2 linked regions of the Drosophila melanogaster genome follow. The protein of the gene in region 1 interacts with the protein of each later gene in a pairwise test. Each region holds a gene or a part of one and is shown in the gene's direction. Other genes may lie near its edges. The genes, in order: CG32633 and CG17110.

Region 1 (4,032 bases):
TATTCTTATCAAGATGAGAACTAAGGAGCTATGTTAATCTTGAACCAGGTGTGGCCAACTTTATTTTTCACAGTGTGGCAAGGATAAGCAAAGCGACCAGAAAAGTATAACCAGCAAAGATGGACCCATGGAGAACGGATGCGAATCGAGAGCGGAAAGCGTGACAGATAGATGGGTTGGAGCAGCAAGGGGTTAATGAAGGAGGGCATTTAGTTCGTGGTACTGTGGAAATGATTAAAATGTATTAGGTGAAATTAAGTTGGCCAAACAGAGAAATGGGGGGGGGGGGTTTAAATAAAGAGGCCAAAATGAGGTTAAAACGTTGCACAAAGCCAAATGGAGCCTGGCTGGGCGAAAACAAATTCATTAGGCTGCAGTGGCATAAAAACATCATACCCACAAAAAGAAGATGCACAACGAAAACCGAACAAAGTTGATTTAAAGTATTATAATCTGCAACATTTTTGCGTATTTCGAGAATGCAGCTTGTTTACCCAGTTTGAAGTCAAGTTAGACTTATCTCTGGTTAATTGGTTTGCTCGAGAGCAGGGCGCGCAAAGCTGCTGGGAAATCGTGGAAAAATCGTAAAGCTTAATAATGACACTCCCCACACAGCCCCTACCACCAGTCCAGCATTGGGAATTCACAAGCCACTGTAAACAGGTGCAAACGTTGCGTTGCACAGCAATTTCAGCAACCCCTCTTAACTTTTGCGCCCAGCTTTCCACGTTTTCCCTTGTTCAAATAGTTGTAAATGGGCGAAAATGCAAACAAAAAACAGTGATCCACTTGAAAGGCAAAACAAGAAAAATCATTCAAAGAGGCAACAATGCTGGGAAAACAAAAGGAAAACGAACGAAAACGAACTGCAAAGACAGCGACCACTAAATAAGTGAAGTGCGTGGACGACTGGACGAGTGGAAATGCGGAAAAGTGGGAAAGCGGAAAAGCGCGCGCAAGAAATTTGCAATGTGGCGAATAAATAAAGGATCAAGCGATTCCCCCATTCAAATTGGCGAATATTGGGCGGTTAAATGGAGATACATGCACGGATGTAAGGCAACTCGAAAAGGTGGCACAACAAATGAACGAGATAACTGGTTAACCACGAGTTGTAAACGCGCAAGCTATTGTTATTAGTATGTTAAAAAGCGGAATAAACTTTTTGTGTTTAACTACAGCTCCATGAAATATGTATATGCTATATGTAACAAACAATAAGCGAGAAAGTTTGTCGGCAACAAAAAAAAAAGTAATAACCATTATGATATTATGAATGCAATTACATTCTTGACGACTCGAAAGAATTTTAAATGTATAAATTATAACGAGATAAAAAAATAAAATATAAATCAAATTTACTTAACATTTATAACATTTCTAGTGCAATATTTACTTTCACTATATGGGTTAATAAAATAAACTTGCCTGTTTCTCGATGTTAAACCCCATTACTTCCAATTGGCCAATCGATTAGAAATTCAACAAGAGTTTGCCAAGATCTGAGTCACTTGAGGTCGGGCTTCTTATCTGGCCATGTAGGTATATTCCCGATAAGCCCTATCAGCGACATCGAGGCGGAAACACAAAAAGACCATCAAATCGACCACTTTCACAGTTGAAAGTCAGAGCTGCTGAAGAACGGACAAGAAAATGGCAGGTAAATAGGTCGTAAGGCCAAGATGCCATAACAAAAAATGAAAACATTTAACTAGGTGGATGATATAAAACAGTTACCAATCTTTAAAGTACTTAATCAGTTGAAACTCAAAATAAATTAATTCAATTTTGGAAACTAACTTGGCCTAGCCAAATAAACTAGTTTACTTGCCATGAACAACAGAATTAAAGAGTTATACCATTCGGTGTGCTGTTAAATAATCGTTTCATTTTTCCATTATCCCCCAGACCACAGATGGATGCACTTCAGCAACGGCAGCGTGCCGCCGAATGCCGTGGTGGCTGGTCACGATTCGGACGGGGACACCATCTACGTGGGCCGTGCCTTCTTCTCCAACGACATGCTGCCGGCGAAGGTGATTCCCAACAAGGGCAAGGCCTACGTGGCGTATGCGCGCGAGGAGCACGAGCTGGAGAACTACGAGGTGCTTTCCGGCTACAACTACGAGTGGCTGTCGGCGGAGAACGGGGAGGTGCCGCCGGGCGCCGTCAAAGTTGGTCGGAATGTGGACGGCGAGTATTTGTATGCGGGCAGGGGTTATCATGCCGGCAGCTTAACCATGGGCAAGGTGCATCCATCCCACGGCTGCCTGTATATTCCCTACGATTCCGATGAGGTTAAGATCTTTGCCTACGAGGTGCTGTGCCAGCCGGAACGTTGGATCGACACCACCGCAACAAATATTCCGGATGGAGCTCTGGTTGCTGGGCACGATTCCAACGGGGACACCATCTACGTGGGCAGGGTGTTCCGCAATGGTGATCTGCTGCCAGCCAAAGTGGTGCCGGCGAAGGGGAAAGCCTATGCCGCCTATGCCCAGGCGGAGCACGAGCTCACCGACGTCCAGGTGCTGACGGGATCCGGATTCCGTTGGGTTCCGGCCTCGCACGGAAATGTGGCTCCCGGAGCCCTGTCCTCCGGTCCGAATGTCGACGGGGAGCCCCTCTACGTCGGCAGGGCCATCTACTGCGACAGCTTGAGTGTGGGCAAGATCCATCCCTCGCACGGCTGCATCTACATCCCATTCGGTGGCGAGGAGGTGCGTCTGGAGAATTACGAGGTTCTGGTGAGGATCTAGACGGACAGCTTTGCCTTTATTCCATTTTTTTTTTAATAAATCTATTTTTTACACACACAACAGAAGTATACAGATTAAAGTATAAATTTAAGTTTAATTCGATCGACATCGAGCAACGTAACTGATAAAATTTATGGTAATGCACCCAGTAATTCTAAAAAAAAAGTACCCCTTTCATAGAGTTTTGGTGATAATAGTTCAAAGTGGTTGTCATAGAAATTTCGAGGTATTGCGGATGTGAGGAATTTCTTCTATATGCGGGCCTTATGTTATCACATCGGTTATCAATTAGCAACAATCAATTGATTAGTTGGCCATAAATTTGCGTCAACTTGTAACATAATTAACCATTTGCCTTCGCCCACTGACTTAACAAACACTGCATCGTAAAACTCAGACAGATATCGCAGTTATCAGAATGTGTACATATATGCACTCGATGCTTTATAACTCGACCTTTCGTCTGCCGAGGTAAAAAGTTATAGGTATCGAAACTCTTTGTAACTTTCTTTGTATATTGAAAAGTTTATTAAAACGTTTCATAAAGTTAAAGTCAATTCATTAGTGGCGGGCGTAGCGTTTTATTTCATAGCTTATTAATGTGCACACGTTGTAATCAATACATGTTTTAAGCACTTATTTGACAGCACAAAGTTTCCCATGGAAATACTTTTTTTCGCAATTTATTTTATAGGAAAGTTGCTAAAAGGCCTTAATCTTAACACTATCATTGGCGCCACCTATGAGATGATTATCTGCACTAACCGTGGCGCCACCTATGACGAGCTGGAGAAAGTCGAGCCGTAGCAGTTTGCCTAACCGCCGACAGCTGGCGATTTAAGCTTTCGACTGGTTCCTGTCTTGGCTAAATGCATTGAGCTTTCTTTTCCAGTGTGACCGTTCCAGCGTAGTAACCAAACACCACGCCACACCATTGCGCCATACAGATATTTTAGGTAATTTCAGCGACGCCGCAGTCGACGTGCAGCCCGCTGCGCCCGACGGTCACACTCTGCCCCCAAACAGCTCCAAAATCGGTTGTCGTCGCGAAAAGTGCGAATCGAGTGCATATTTGCTGCAAAAAGAAGCGAGAACACGGTGACGTGACGAAAGCATTCGAGTGACGAAGAGTGCGAGCGCGCTGCATTTGTTTACGATTCCGATTCCGATGCCATTGGTCAATTGGTAAGGGGCTTTGGGAAGTGTAAGAGGAAGAGCGTGCGGCGCGGCAAGTAACGAAAGAAGAAGAAGCAGCAGCAGCAGGGCACACGCA
Region 2 (6,034 bases), on another chromosome or scaffold:
TCTATGAATGTGCATCCAATTTGCAGACCGAGTGGTCCACAATTTTGATGACATTCGCACAAGTTGTGAATAAAAACCGTTTCGAGTGCTTTCGCCTTGTGCAGGCAGTAAGCAGCACGCATACGCACTGTTGGCCAGCACTTTTTGTATATCGATGTCGACTGTGAGTGCAGTTTGCTAAAGTGCTTGCCAAGAGCTGAGCTCCTTTTTTTCGTTCCACCTAATGCCTGACACACACACACACAAATTGAAGCTCTCCAGGCGATGCAAACGCATGCCCTCCGGATTGTCCTTGAGCTGTCAGTCCGCCAGCAACCCAATTCCCATTCCATATTTCCATACTACCGAAACTTTGCCATGGGCTCTGAAAAAAGCTCGAACAAAAGGAAATGTACGCTCTGGGCCGAGGGATATGGTAAATGGTAAATGGCAGAGGAGGATTATATCAGTTCTCTCGCTTTTATTTTTTTTTTTTGCTTTTTTTGGCCAGGTAATGCGCCCATAACGGATTAGGCGATATCCTCGGGGTTCCATCTCTGCAGTTCTGCAGGTTTTGGGTGCTCAACGCAAACAGTTTCCGGCGTTGCCCGGATAATTGTTACAATATACAAAATTTTCATTTAGTTTATTTGCCCAGCGACAACATGTCAGCTCAGCAGCAACATCAGCAAACAACAAACAGGCGCGCCCCCAAGTCACCACCATGGGCGAAAAGTGAATAATTTGGCATCAGATAAGTAGATTCGTGTTTTACTCGACTAAGAATGAACTACTTTAGCCTCTGTACAGACTTATAGACTCTATTCTAGGGACATTACATTCGAATTATGCCAAAAACTTGCCATTTTGGCCCATTGTGCAGCTGAACGAGTGTTTGTGCGCAGGAAACTTGTGTATTTATTTGACTTATGTGACGCTGTAAATGGGGAGAGTACGAGTTTGTACGAATGTGGGGCTTGGATGTTATTTAAAATGCAGACATGTGTAGCCTGTAGTTGCTGCTATTGCTGCTGGTGCGCCATTAAAATCCCAGCAACATTGTTAATGAACTTTTAATGACTTTTTGTGAGTACACACACTAAAACAATATCAACTTTGGCCTAGCAGGGTGTGTATGCGACACAAATCAGAGGGCTTTGGTTTTGTGTATTTTTTTTGGCCCAACCACCTTTTTTTCTGTATGGGAACAAGCGTGAAATCTAAATGCGAAACTAACTTTTGACACACTACTGGGACAACAGACGCAGTGCAGCAAAGTCGGCAAGTGCAGCAGGAACACTATTAATATGCGAAATTTGAATTGGATTCGAGTGGCTGAAAGGCCCGAGGAGGGGCAACTTGTTTACCCGGAAGCCCACTGGGCGTGTGGTGCGAACGTGTGCAGTGCATCTTGATTAACAAATCAACTGGAATTGGAATGCGATTGCATGCGATTCATCAGTAATCGGAAATCTTGGCTGCGGGCCAAATGGGGTCACCATCAATCCAGCAATCCTGCAGTCCTGTTACCCCCAAAGCAATGCGAAGCACCTTCGCCTCCATTTAAGGCAAATAAATCCATCAGCCAGGGGGAATCCCAAGTAAATGAGCCTTAAAGTGGGTTCATATGTACCGGAAAGTGATGGAAGAATGTTCACCAATACATGGAGTGGAATCCCTACCAATTGGGATGGTACAGAAATAGAGTTCCACTCCTTGTGCTATGAGCTGCAAAATTCAGTTTAATTTATAAATAATGCAGTACAAGATAGAAATTACTATTAGGGGATGTCTCTTTTGTAATCAATTGAATTTTTGAGTGCTGGATATTAAATTCATCAAATTAGTTTCTCATATAGAAATGGGAAGACACGAATATTATTAATGACGGAAGCAATTGTTAACTGCAAGTCATTTGTACTGAAAAGTAGATTAGCCATCTAAAAAGTAAACAAATGCGTAAGATAAAACAGTTTATAGGCAGCACCGTATGATAAGAAATTAGGTTTAGTTCCTTCTCGGATTTATTATCATGCCCTCTCTTTCGCTCGCTTATCGCTGATATTTAAACGCGCGCTTCTCTCCACGATCGCACAGTCGTCGTCGAGCCAGTGTTGCGAAAGGTGTGTTGTGTGTCTGCTCTCCGCTGTGGTGAAGTGTCGATCAGCTGATTTCAGCAAACAATTTAATTGATTTGTTATCAGCCGGCTAATTATTTACATTTTATAGAGTGCAAAATGAGTACAGCCAAGTGGGAGAACAACGAGGAGATTAAGATCTTTCGCGAATATCTTCGCATACCAACGGTGCATCCAAATGTGGATTACAGTGAGTTCCAATGGGCATGTATATCTTTATGAGGCTGCGATAAGAGTACCCTGATCTTTATGACCTTGCCATAAAATGTGTCTGCTATTTATAGCCGTTTGCACGGAATTCTTGAAACGCCAGGCTGCCAGCTTGGACCTGCCCGTGGAGGTTATCTATCCGGTGAACGAGCAGAATCCCGTGGTGGTGCTAAAATGGCAGGGTTCCCAGCCGGAACTGCCCTCCATCATTCTCAATTCGCACACGGATGTAGTGCCCGTTTTTGAGGAGAAGTGGACACACGGTCCATTCAGCGCGGATCTAGATGCAGAGGGTCGCATCTTTGCGCGCGGATCGCAGGACATGAAGTGCGTGGGCACCCAATATCTGGGAGCTGTGCGTGCCCTCAAGGCCAGTGGCTATCAACCCAAGAGGACGATCTATCTCACTTATGTTCCGGACGAGGAGGTTGGCGGCCACCTGGGCATGCGGGAGCTGGTAAAGAGCGACTACTTCAAGAAGCTCAATGTGGGATTCAGTTTCGACGAGGGAATCTCTAGTGCGGATGAAACCTACGCTCTGTACTACGCTGAACGGACTCTTTGGCGTGAGTAGGATTGACTCATACAAACAATTTAAGCTAGCCATGTTTTCCTGCAGATCTTCGTTTCAAGATCAGCGGAACTGCTGGTCACGGATCACTGTTGCTCCCGAATACTGCTGGCGAGAAGCTGAACTATGTGGTAGGCAAAATGATGGAGTTCCGCAAATCGCAAGTGCAAAAACTAGCTGACGACTCATCCCTCGAAATTGGTGATGTGACCACTGTGAATCTCACCCAACTGAGGGGCGGAGTCCAGAGCAACGTGGTTCCCCCATTGCTGGAAGCTGTATTTGATATCCGCATTGCCGTCACCGTGGATATCCCTGCCTTTGAGAAGCAGATTCGCGACTGGTGCGAGGAGGCTGGCGGCGGCATTGAACTGGAGTTTGAGATGAAAAACCCCTTTGTGGAGCCAACAAAGATTGACTCGTCGAATGCCTACTGGCTGGCCTTTAAGAAAGCACTCGATGACCTGTAAGGATGAGAAGCTCTGACAAAAGGCATGGCTCTGATATCCTTTCTCCTTGTTTCTTTCAGTGGCCTCAAGACACGGGTTCGTGTTTTCCCCGGCGCCACGGACAGTCGTTATATTCGCTACGCAGGCATTCCAGCTCTAGGATTCTCGCCCATTAACAACACCCCCATCCTGCTGCACGACCACGATGAATTCCTGAAAGCCGATACCTATTTGCACGGCATTGAGGTTTACAAGAAGCTCATTCCTGCCGTAGCTGATGCTTAGCGAACTCAATTCAATTATGAAATAATGCATTTAATGCTTACTTGTCGATGTTTATTGTAATAACTTTAAACAAGCAGGCTTATAAAAACCCATTTAAATAAACAATGTATGAATAAATAAGCCAGTCCATAGTCCATACCATTAATGGTGAGCAAAAAAAGGAAATTTAAATGAAAATGAATAAGTTTATGGTTTACTATTATGGCTTTGCTAGATAACATTAAGCTCTTAGCGCAAAGATGAAAATCCGCAAATTGTGGGCTCTTCTAATCAAGTAGCTTAAAGTCAACAACTGATAATGCCATTAAGTCAATCCACACTCAGACTTCAAACCAAACAGCACGGTGGATTACAAGTCAGTTCCTTTAGAACCACGGGGCATTCAACTCAAAATGTGCACTTGCACGGAACAATGGAAGAACGACGAGGAAATAATCATTTTCCAGGAGTATTTGCGCATTCCCTCGGTGCATCCAGACGTGGACTACAGTAAGGATTTGTTTTTCCGCTCCTTGGATTTTGTTATCCCTATTTCCCTTGCAGCTGCATGCGTGGAGTTCCTAAAACGCCAGGCTAACAAACTTAATCTCCGCGTGGACGTGGTGTATCCTGTTGTGCCTTCGAAACCGGTGGTGATTATGAAGTGGCTGGGCAAGCATCCCGAGCTGAAATCCATTATATTGAACTCACACATGGACGTGGTGCCCGTGTTTCCCGAAAAGTGGACCCATGAGCCGTTTGGTGCCCACATAGACGCCCAAGGCCGGATTTATGCACGCGGTGCCCAGGACATGAAGTCCGTGGGATGTCAGTACATGGCTGCGGTCCGTGCACTCAAAGCCAGTGGCTATCAGCCAAAAAGGACCGTATATTTGACTTTTGTGCCCGACGAGGAAACTGGCGGACACATGGGCATGGCTGAATTCGTCAAGGGTGATTACTTCAAAGCCATGAATGTGGGCTTTAGCCTGGACGAGGGCATCGCCAGTGAAGATGACACTTATCCTGTATTTTACGCCGAGCGTACATTGTGGCGTAAGTCTTCCATTTGCATCAGTAGCAATATATTCTGATTCATTTTATACCCCTGCAGAACTTCGATTTAAATTCAGTGGCACTTCAGGTCATGGATCGCTGCTGCACAAAAGCACGGCTGGCGAAAAGTTTCACTTTGTGATGGATAAGCTGATGAAGTTCCGAGAAACCCAGGTCAAGCTACTGGCCGAGGACTCCTCCTTGCAGTCCGGTGATGTGACCACTTTGAACCTGACCCAACTCAACGGTGGCGTCCAAAGCAATGTGGTTCCCCCCGTACTAGAAGCCACTTTTGATATTCGCATAGCCATCAACCAGAATGCCGATGCAATGGAGAATCAGATTCGCGAGTGGTGCAACGAAGTCGGTGGTGGAGTGGAACTGGATTTCACGCTGAAGTGCCCCTCGGTGGTGACCAAGATAGACGACTCCAATCCCTACTGGCTGGGCTTCAAAAAGGGACTAGATGAACTGTAGGTAAACAAAGATTGTGTAGTTTTCACTTCATAATTTGTTGAAATTTTCCAGAGGTTTGATCACCCATACACGAGTTTTCCCCGGCGCCACCGATAGCTTCTACGTCCGGCAAGTGGGAATTCCCGCTCTGGGATTTTCACCCATCAACAACACCCCGGTGCTGCTGCACAATCATGATGAATATTTGCGGGCCGACACATATCTGCACGGAATTCAGGTGTACAGGAAGCTCATCCCCTCTATTGCTGATTCATAAAATGTTCAAGCGAAGTTCCACTCATAAATGGAAATCAATATGCTACAATTGGTCTTATCGCTTATGAGTAATGTTTTTGGCTCGATGAGTGTAGGACCAAAATTAAATGTTTAAATGGTGTGACTACTACAAATCATATCTGTTTCTAAACAAATGAAAATCACACACTGATAACACGAGTTTCAGAAGAGAGTTTTTGTCATGGACTTTGCCCTCATTCAATATCCAATAAATCGTCACAACTATTGATATCGTTCTCAAAAACTAACGTAACCTTCACGTAAAGGGGTTGTATTTTATATATACATCATAATTATCAATAATTACATTAATATGTATTCTATTTTCTTATCAAACCAAATACAAATTATAATAACCCATTTTTTCGCAGACCATAAACGACGGTGGTTGAGTTTTATTGGTGTTATGTGAACTTTATCGAATTGGCTACCGTTTGCTATTAGACATTTGTTTTGGTAGAATTTTGTACAAGAATATGTGCTGTTATCATTTCTATAACAACCGAGTTTGATAACGAACTCATTATTTGATAATAATACGAAGCCAAGGCCATAAAACCAAAATCACCCAACACACAAAAATTTCTGTATAAGTTCATTTTTTGCCAACTGCG

The links.
Region 2: the proteins of CG32633 (region 1) and CG17110 interact in a two-hybrid assay, tested with the Drosophila melanogaster proteins (one large-scale study listed by BioGRID).

The regions. Positions count from the first base shown.
Region 1 is NC_004354.4:13,560,058-13,564,089, forward strand, and holds CG32633 (uncharacterized protein), read left to right. Parts: upstream 1-1,613; 5' UTR 1,614-1,653; coding exon 1,654-1,660; intron 1,661-1,908; coding exon 1,909-2,759; 3' UTR 2,760-3,302; downstream 3,303-4,032.
Region 2 is NT_033777.3:23,089,655-23,095,688, forward strand, and holds CG17110 (uncharacterized protein), read left to right. Parts: upstream 1-2,069; 5' UTR 2,070-2,102; intron 2,103-2,122; exon of another isoform or gene 2,123-2,208; 5' UTR 2,209-2,216; coding exon of another isoform or gene 2,217-2,307; intron 2,308-2,401; coding exon of another isoform or gene 2,402-2,893; intron 2,894-2,946; coding exon of another isoform or gene 2,947-3,364; intron 3,365-3,427; coding exon of another isoform or gene 3,428-3,632; 5' UTR 3,633-3,779; exon of another isoform or gene 3,780-3,805; intron 3,806-3,843; exon of another isoform or gene 3,844-3,846; 5' UTR 3,847-4,024; coding exon 4,025-4,121; intron 4,122-4,175; coding exon 4,176-4,667; intron 4,668-4,725; coding exon 4,726-5,140; intron 5,141-5,195; coding exon 5,196-5,400; 3' UTR 5,401-5,530; downstream 5,531-6,034. Other genes in the region: CG6726 (uncharacterized protein), read left to right, coding at 2,217-2,307, 2,402-2,893, 2,947-3,364, 3,428-3,632.